Coturnix japonica: one gene and its partner. The protein of the gene in region 1 purifies or fractionates together with the protein of each later gene. This does not show direct contact. Links are inferred from orthologs where the notes say so. Each region holds a gene or a part of one and is shown in the gene's direction. Other genes may lie near its edges.

Region 1 (3,815 bases):
TTTCATGTACATTTCATTTACATCCAAAAATCAGACTTTCTGAGCCAGTGATCTCCTGAAGTTCAGCAAGCTGCTGAGCTCAGAGGCATGCTTGAATTGTTAACAGCATAGCAAACAAGAACTACCCATTGTTATGAAGGGTTCCTTATCAAATATTTACTTGAGAATGTTTTACTTTGTGTTTCCAGTATTCACAGATATCTTCCAGCACCTGTACAAACAATATCTGGCACAGGAAATTCCTAGTGGCTGGCGTAGTGCTTTAAGCAGTGCCCAAATCCAGTTTCCCAGAACAAGCACAGCCACATGTGGTAAAAAAGATCCTACTGAAAATTTCAGGAACCTGAACCACCTGCGGATGTCTGAGATTTTAGTCTGGGTACTGGTCTTATCCTAATAACATTTTCTGTTCATGAAGACACTTCTAGGGATAATAGTGATTTTTAATCTGAAAAATTGAATTATTTTTTAACAACTTAAGCAAGGATGGGAATGTGGCTCTCTGTGCTCATTTGTAATTTTAAAGTCTGCAGGAAGAAAAGAAAACCCAATCTTTGATTGGGTCACTAGCTGAGCTGAATGATTGCTTCTTCATTTCCCCTTATGTGTAAAATAACAGGGAGCGTGTGATGCCACTTTTTATACTACAGATTTCCTGTTAAGTACTAGAAGCTCTGTTTAAGCCAGCAAGAAACACTACATTTCTTTCATAGTTTGTAGCCAAAGTGGAGGAAACCTATAGATCTGTTCTCTGTGCACCTGGTTATCTTCTATAGGATATCTGTCGATGGATATTGGACGTCAGAACTCTGTGGTGTTTTATGTTTGTTTTCTTTCTACTTGTATAAAGAGCCTGAGCCTGAGTTATCTCCATGTATAAAGCAATCGAAAAGCTGAGTTATGGCAGGTTTTAAGTGTCAGGTCACACCAGTCCAAGTCATTTTAGCGTTTATAACGTCTAGATGTAGATATCAGAGTTTGGACAAAGATTGTACTACTTAATTAAAATTAAATATTGGTTATTGAGTGTAGTTTAGTGAATTTATATTTTCAGATATTTTAGAACTTCTGTGTGATAGCATTCTCATTTATGCAGATATCACAGAATTTTAATTTAATGTCTACAGTTTTATGCACACTCCCATATTCACTGACATCTAAGTCTGTGATTGTCTGCAATAAAAATGAAACAGAAATTACTTCTTTTTGAGCAGAGGCCACCCAAAGCCATCATAAATATTGTATCTCTACCTGAGAGTGTTATTTTCCAAGGACACAGTAAAGGGATGTGCTAAGAAGAACCATACAAAGATTTTATGAAGATTCAGAGGCCCAGCTTTGTTTCCTTAAGGAAAGCTTGATTTCTAGCAGTGAGCAAAGGATGAAGGAGGTTGTCAATATACATCCAAACCAATCTGAGTCCACAGTATACATGTATTGGTGACTCAAGTTTGTCGCCTGAGTCCAGGACAGGTAAAGTCATGTTTTCAATTGCTTTGGCCATCCAGACTAGCTAAAATACAGCTCACATCATCTAATATTCCCAGCATGTTTTCCTGTTGGACATATCCACACTGTAGTGCAAATGAGAACATTTGCTGACTTGTGAAGGTGAGAGCATGATTTCTATCCATTATCTCCATAAAGTGGTTGCAGCAGAGCTCCTTCATTCAATCCATGGCTCTTTGAAAGGAGGCAATGGCCTAGTTTTAATCGGTCCCTTATTTTAAAAGATGCAGAAATTTTGGTTTAGAACTTCACACATTAATTATATCACCACTGATTTCTTTTCTTTGTCCTTTACAGGCACTGAAAATTCAGAGGCAAATGAAGAGTATCAGAACAGCAGCCAAGAAAGCTGGGTGCAGCGAATGCTGATGGCTTTGGTGGGTGATAGTGCCCTTTTCAATACCAGGGAAGGGCGTGCTGGGAAAGTGCACAACTTCATGCTGGGATTGAACCTCAACAGCTGTTACCCACTGTCTCCTCTGGCAGACCTTATGACTCAGGAATCTGTGGAGGAAGACGAACTAGATGCAGCTGTGGCAGGTTAGTTTGCAGAAAGCCTGTGTTACTGCATATTCATTGGTTAAACTGTGATTTCCTCAGTGTGGTAACATTTACTCAAACTGCAAGGCTTACAGCTGCCCTTGAACAAAGGTGGGACAACATTTCTCTATAAGCAGTCATGAGTACCGACCAGTGCTGAAGGTTGTCAGATGACAGGGTGTCACAAACAGCACTGCGCAACGATTTCTGCCTGTCACCTACTTCCTGAATCCCCTGACAAGCTCTATAGCACAACTGCTGGCATTTCAGCTCTTTGTTTTCAAGGAGATGCTGACCGAGTTGATCAAGCTGCTTTTGTGTACGGCACCCTTCATTAAGGCTGCTTCTCACTCATTTGGGCTGCTCTAAGGAATGGTCTATGTTCTTTTCACCGGTTAAGCCTTTAGATAGAAGTAAGACCTTATCTTTCTACAGTGCTTTTCTGTGGCTTCTCTGACACCTTTGTCTTCCTCTGACAATCCTGTGGAGGCAGTGCACTTCTTATTTGTACATCCTTGCTTTCCTGACTCCACATTCCTCCCAGTGTGACTGATTTGTCATACCTGTCTGCATTTCAAAGAACAACAGAGATTGGAAGGGACCCCAAGAGATCACTGAGTCCAAGTCGCTTGCTAAAGTAGTCACCCTACAATAGGTGGTACAGGTCAGCATCCAGAGTGGGCTTGAATATCTTCATAGAAGGACTCCACAACCTCTCTGAGCAGCCTGTTTCAGTGCTTTGTCACTGCAAAGAAGTTTGTCTGCATGTTAGTACAGAACTTTCAAGTTCAAGGCTTAGGCCATTATTCCTTGCCCTGTTACTACACACCACTGAGAAGAGCCTGGCCTCATCCATTTGTCTCCCACCTCCCTTTAGATATTTATTAACATTCATCTGATCCACCCCCAATCTTCTTTTCCCCATGCTAAACAGACAGTGGTCTCTCAGAATTTCCTCACACAGGAGATGCTCCAGGCCCTTCATCGTCTTTGTGGCCCTCCACTGGACTCCTTCTAGGAGATCCCTGTATATTTTGAACATGGCGCCCAGAACTGAATGCAGTAGTCTAAATATGGCATCGTCAGGACAGAGCAGACTGGGAGGATCACCTCCCTCAAGCTGCTGGTCACACACTTTTTAATACACTGCAGGATATCATTGGCTTACTTGGCCAGCAGGGCACACTACTGGCTCATTGGCCAACCTTTTGTCTACCAGAGCACCCAGGCCCTTCTCCACAGAGCTCCTTTCCAGCAGATTGGCACCCAACCTGTACTGATGTATGTGGTTATTCCTCCCCTGGTGCAAGACTCTACACTTGCTCTTGTTAAACCTCATGAGTGTCCTCCCTGCCCAGTTTCATCTTTTCGTAAGCAGGAAGCAAGCATGCTGGTGGAAAACAAGAATGTAAGAAAAAATTGATTTGCAGAAGTTGTGTAGCATCTTTCCCCACTCCCCTGCATGAAATACGTGGTGCATAGGACGGTAGGTGCAGAGAATTAGGTATCACATTTGATTAGCATTTTGAAGACTTCCTATAGGCAGTGTTAATTACACTCTAAACAGTGAAAGCCTCTGAATTTCTGAGTATTCTTTAGTCTCTGGTGCACTTTTTTTCTTCCTTAGTAGACAACAGAGCATTGCATTATAAATGTGGTTTTCTCTATAGAAAAGTTAAGTCACAGTCAAGATACAGTGCAGAGTTTTTGTGGTACAAACTACACAGCACTGTCAAACGACCCACATTATAACAGTCACTTCAGCC
Region 2 (4,538 bases), on another chromosome or scaffold:
TTTGGGGCGGCCTTTGGGGTGTGCGGTTGGGATGTGGGGAGTGGGGGTCATTTGGGGTAAGGGTGGTCCTGGGGGGGAGGGGGCTGAGAACCGGGAGAGCCCCATAAAGGTCCCATTTCATTTCAGGTCCCATTTCACTTCAGGGCGTTTTTTATTGGGGGGGGGATTAGAGCAGCCCTTCAGTAATGAGCTGCGCTAATTGAGCCGTGTCTGCGTGGGCAGGTGGTGGCACAGCGCCTGCTGGGTGCTGCCAGATACTGGGTGCAGATAGAGGTGATGGAGGGCACCTGCAGTATCATGGGGGTGAATTCAGCCCCAAAGGCATCGGGGCTGCTCTCAGGGGGTCACTGGCCCCTGCCCCAATGAGAGCCATCGCCCCATGTGCAGCCCTGTCCCCCTGCATGGCTCTGTCCCTGCAGGTGATCCTGGCCTTACAGGTGTGATCCTGGCCCTACAGATGTGATCCTGGCCCTATAGATGTGATCCTGGCCCTAGAGGGGATCCTGTCCTTACAGGTGTGATCCTGGCCCTGCAGATGGGATCCTGGCCCTGCAGATGGGATCCTGGCCCTACAGATATGATCCTGGCCCTGCAGGTGATCCTGGCCCTAGAGGGGATCCTGGCCCTACAGATGATGTTGGCCCTATAGGTGATCCTGGTCCTACAGATATGATCCTGGCCCTAGAGGGGATCCTGGCCCTACAGGTGATGTTGGCCCTACAGATGCGATCCTGGCCCTGCAGGTGATCCTGTCCCTAGAGGGGATCCTGGCCCTACAGATGTGATCCTGGCCCTACAGGTGATCCTGGCCCTACAGGTGATGTTGGCCCTATAGGTGATTCTGGTCCTACAGATGTGATCCTGTCCCTGCAGGTGATCCTGGCCCTACAGGTGATCCTGTCCTTACAAGTGTGATCCTGGCCCTGCAGGTGATCCTGTCCCTATGGGTGATGCTGGCCCTATAGGTGATCCTGTCCCTATAGGTGATGCTGGCCCTATAGGTGATCATGGCCCCAGATGTGCTCCTGTCCTCCATGTCCCCATACACAGCCGTGACTCCAAGCGCAGCCCTGTCCCTACAAGTAATGGCCGTGTCCCCAAAAGAAACCCACGTCGGTCCCTCAGTACGTTCCTGTCCCCAAAGCTGTTTCTCACAGCTCTCAGTGCCCACAGCTCCTTGGTGGCCCTGTCCCCAAGTGCAGCCCCGTGCCCGGGGTTAGGGCCACATCCCTGAGCCAGGTCCCTAAGAACGGCCCTGATCTTAGGGATGGACGGGCCTGTACCCAAAGGCGGCCTCGTCCCCAGGCGCCCCCTCCCCAGCGGTGCTCCCCTCCCCAGGAGCCACCAGGTGGGACACGCGTTCAGGTGACACATAGTGGCCGGGGGGGGCTGATAGTGGCCGGGCAGGAAGGGGTTAAGGCTGAGCGCTGCGGGCGGGAGCGACTGAGTCAGCCCCAGGCCCCCCCCGGGTCCCCCCCCCGGGGCGGTCCCGCCCCCTCCGTGCCTATCCCGGGCGGTGCCACCGCCCCGCAGTGCCCCGGTCTGCGCCGTGCGGTGAGTACCGACCCCCCCCCTCCATAGGACCTCTCCATAGGACCCCCGCCTCATTTGGGTCCCTTGGAACCCAGCTCCTCCAGGCATTGACCCGCAATGGGGTGAGGACCCTTTATATAGAGGACCTCCCTACACCCTTAGAGAGAAGCCCTATTCATAGAGGATACCCCCGTCCCACCCCCTCCATAGCAGTAACCCTGCTCCATCATAACCTCCATCTGGAGGGGGGGGGTCCCATCCTGCACCCCCCCCTCTTAGGAGGTCCCGGCTCTTCCCCTCACCCCATATCACCCCACAAAGCTCGGGGTCCCCCTCATTCCCTCCCCCTTCACTCCATAAACTTTGAGGGCTTTCCACCCGCACATCACCCCATAAGATTTGCTTTCCCCCCCCCCTCCCATACACTATCCCATCACCCCATAAACTTTAGGATCCACCCCCACCCCCCCTTGAGATGCTGCAGCTTTATTTCTATTTATTTACTTATTTATTTGGGGGCTGTTGGAACAGGGGAGAGTTTAATGCAAAGGTTGGGACTCTGCCATTATTTTCCACTTGGGGTGGGACCCCCCCCTCCTTCCTTTTCCCCCTTTCCTCTTCCCCCTTTGCAGGTATAGAGGAGTGGTCCCCAAAACCAAACTGTGTGTCCCCCCCCTCCCCAAAGCATTAAAGCTGAGCCGGAGGGACACCCCAACGCCTCACCCCCAGGGTGGAGTCTCCATTCCTGCAATGGAGTGGGGGGGGGGGGGAGCAGCTTTGGGATGTGCCCCCCCCATCCACGATTGTAGGGAATCCAGGAGGGGCCCCACCCTGGGAGGAGGCGCCGTGACTCAGTGTGCCCAGGGCGGGGGGGTCCCGAGGGTGTCCCATAGGGAAGACCGGGGCGGGGTGTGTGTGTTGGAGGGGGGGGTTCAGAGGAGGGACACCGCAGCACATCACACCCGGCCCCGCCTCGCGGCCGTTGCCCGGAGCTGAGTCACCACGATGGGACGGAGGGCACGGAGCCCCACACACCCTATGGAGCCCCACACACCCTATGGAGCCCCACACGCCCCTATGGAGCCCCACACACCCTATGGAGCCCCACACACCCCTGTGGAGCCCCACACTCCCCTATGGAGCCCCACACTCCCCTATGGAGCCCCACACGCCCCTATGGAGCCCCACACATCCTGTGGAGCCCCACACACCCCTGTGGAGCCCCACACTCCCTATAGAGCCCCACACTCCCCTATGGAGCCCCACACACCCTATAGAGCCCCATATACCCCTATAGAGCCCTACGGAGCCCCACACACCCTATAGAGCCCCATACACCCTTATGGAGCCCCACACGCCCTATGGAGCCTCATACACCCCTATGGAGCCTCATACACCCCTATGGAGCCCCACACACCCCTATGGAGCCCCACACACCCTATAGAGCCCCACACACCCCTATGGAGCCCCACACACCCCTATGGAGCCCCACACACCCTATGGAGCCCCACATACCCTATAGAGCCCCACACACCCCTGTGGAGCCCCACACACCCTATGGAGCCCCACACACCCCTGTGGAGCCCCACACACCCTATGGAGCCCCACACACCCCACGATGCCTGACACGCCCCACAGAGACCCTCTGAAGCTCCATGGAACCCCACAAATCCCTTCTGACCCTGCTTCTCCCCATGCAGACCTGCAGACCCTCCTGATCCCTTCCAGCCCCTTTAGACTCTACTAAACCACGCAGACCCCAGTGAGACCCAACTGGACCCTTCCAACTCTGCTGATCCCACACCTTAGACCCCACTGTATCCTTCTGACCCCACAGACCCCACTGAGACCCTCACAGGACCCTGCTGACCCCACAGACCCCACAGCAGCCACCATGCCATCCCAAATGGAGCACGCCATGGAGACGCTGATGTTCACCTTCCACAAATATGCGGGTGACAAGAACTACCTGAGCAAGGAGGACCTGCGTGCCCTGATGGAGAAGGAGTTCCCCGGATTCCTGGAGGTGAGAGGTTGGACAGTGGGGTCACACTTACCCCACAGCCCTATAAGAGCTGGATACCTTGAGGCGGTGGGGAACAGAGCAGGGTCACACCTACCCCAGGGTTCTATAACCTGGAGGAGGGGAATGGGGCACAGTGGGGTCACAGCACCTACCACACTATGAGGTGCTGACCCGCTTCTGCCCCCAGAACCAGCGTGACCCCATGGCTCTGGATAAGATCATGAAGGACCTGGACCAGTGCCGGGATGGCAAAGTGGGATTCCAGAGCTTCTTCTCACTGGTGGCTGGACTGACCATCGCCTGCAACGACTACTTCGTGGTGCACATGAAGCAGAAGGGGAGGAAGTGAGAGACGGCCCCGCCGCCCCAATAAAGTGTTTTGTATGACCCTGCTGTGGCCTCTGCCTTGGGGTGGGTCATCACTGGGGGGTTCCCATCCCTGCATCCCCGTCAGCACCGGGTCCCCATCGCCATGGGAATCCCAGGCACAGATCCCCATCGCTGTGGGGTTCCCATCCCCATATCCCCATAATCAGCACTGAGTCCCATTGCTGTGGGGTTCCTATCCCCAAACCCCCTTCGCTGTGGGGTTCCTATCCCCATATCCCCCATAATCAGCCCTGAGTCCCCATGTCCATGGGGTTCTCATCCCCAAACCCCCTGTGCTGTGGGGTTCCCAACCCCATATCCCAATTAGTCAGTCCTGAGTCCCCATATCCCCATAATCAGCAACCGAGTCCCATTGCTGTGGGGTTCCCATCCCAACCCATCACTGTGGGGCTGCCCATCGCCCATCATCCCCATTAAATCAGCAACCGAAAGTCCCATCCTCTGCTGAGTCTTTCCATCCCCAACCCCCTTCACTGTGGGGTCCCATCCCCATATCCCCCATAATCAGCCCTGAGTCCCCGTGTCCATGGGGTCCTCCATCCCAAATTCCCCTTCCCGGTGGGGTTCCCAACCCCAATATCCCAATTAG

Evidence for each region.
Region 2: the proteins of PLA2G4A (region 1) and S100A10 purify together in Homo sapiens (affinity purification with western blotting; 3 studies listed by BioGRID). This does not show direct contact. The link is inferred for Coturnix japonica from reciprocal best matches to the Homo sapiens genes PLA2G4A and S100A10.

Annotation. Positions count from the first base shown.
Region 1 is NC_029523.1:8,858,274-8,862,088, reverse strand, and holds part of PLA2G4A (cytosolic phospholipase A2), read left to right. Parts: intron 1-1,806; coding exon 1,807-2,049; intron 2,050-3,815. UniProt on the Homo sapiens protein: Has primarily calcium-dependent phospholipase and lysophospholipase activities, with a major role in membrane lipid remodeling and biosynthesis of lipid mediators of the inflammatory response.
Region 2 is NC_029540.1:2,466,764-2,471,301, reverse strand, and holds S100A10 (protein S100-A10), read left to right. Parts: upstream 1-1,430; 5' UTR 1,431-1,554; intron 1,555-3,370; 5' UTR 3,371-3,427; coding exon 3,428-3,559; intron 3,560-3,746; coding exon 3,747-3,908; 3' UTR 3,909-3,946; downstream 3,947-4,538. UniProt on the Homo sapiens protein: Because S100A10 induces the dimerization of ANXA2/p36, it may function as a regulator of protein phosphorylation in that the ANXA2 monomer is the preferred target (in vitro) of tyrosine-specific kinase.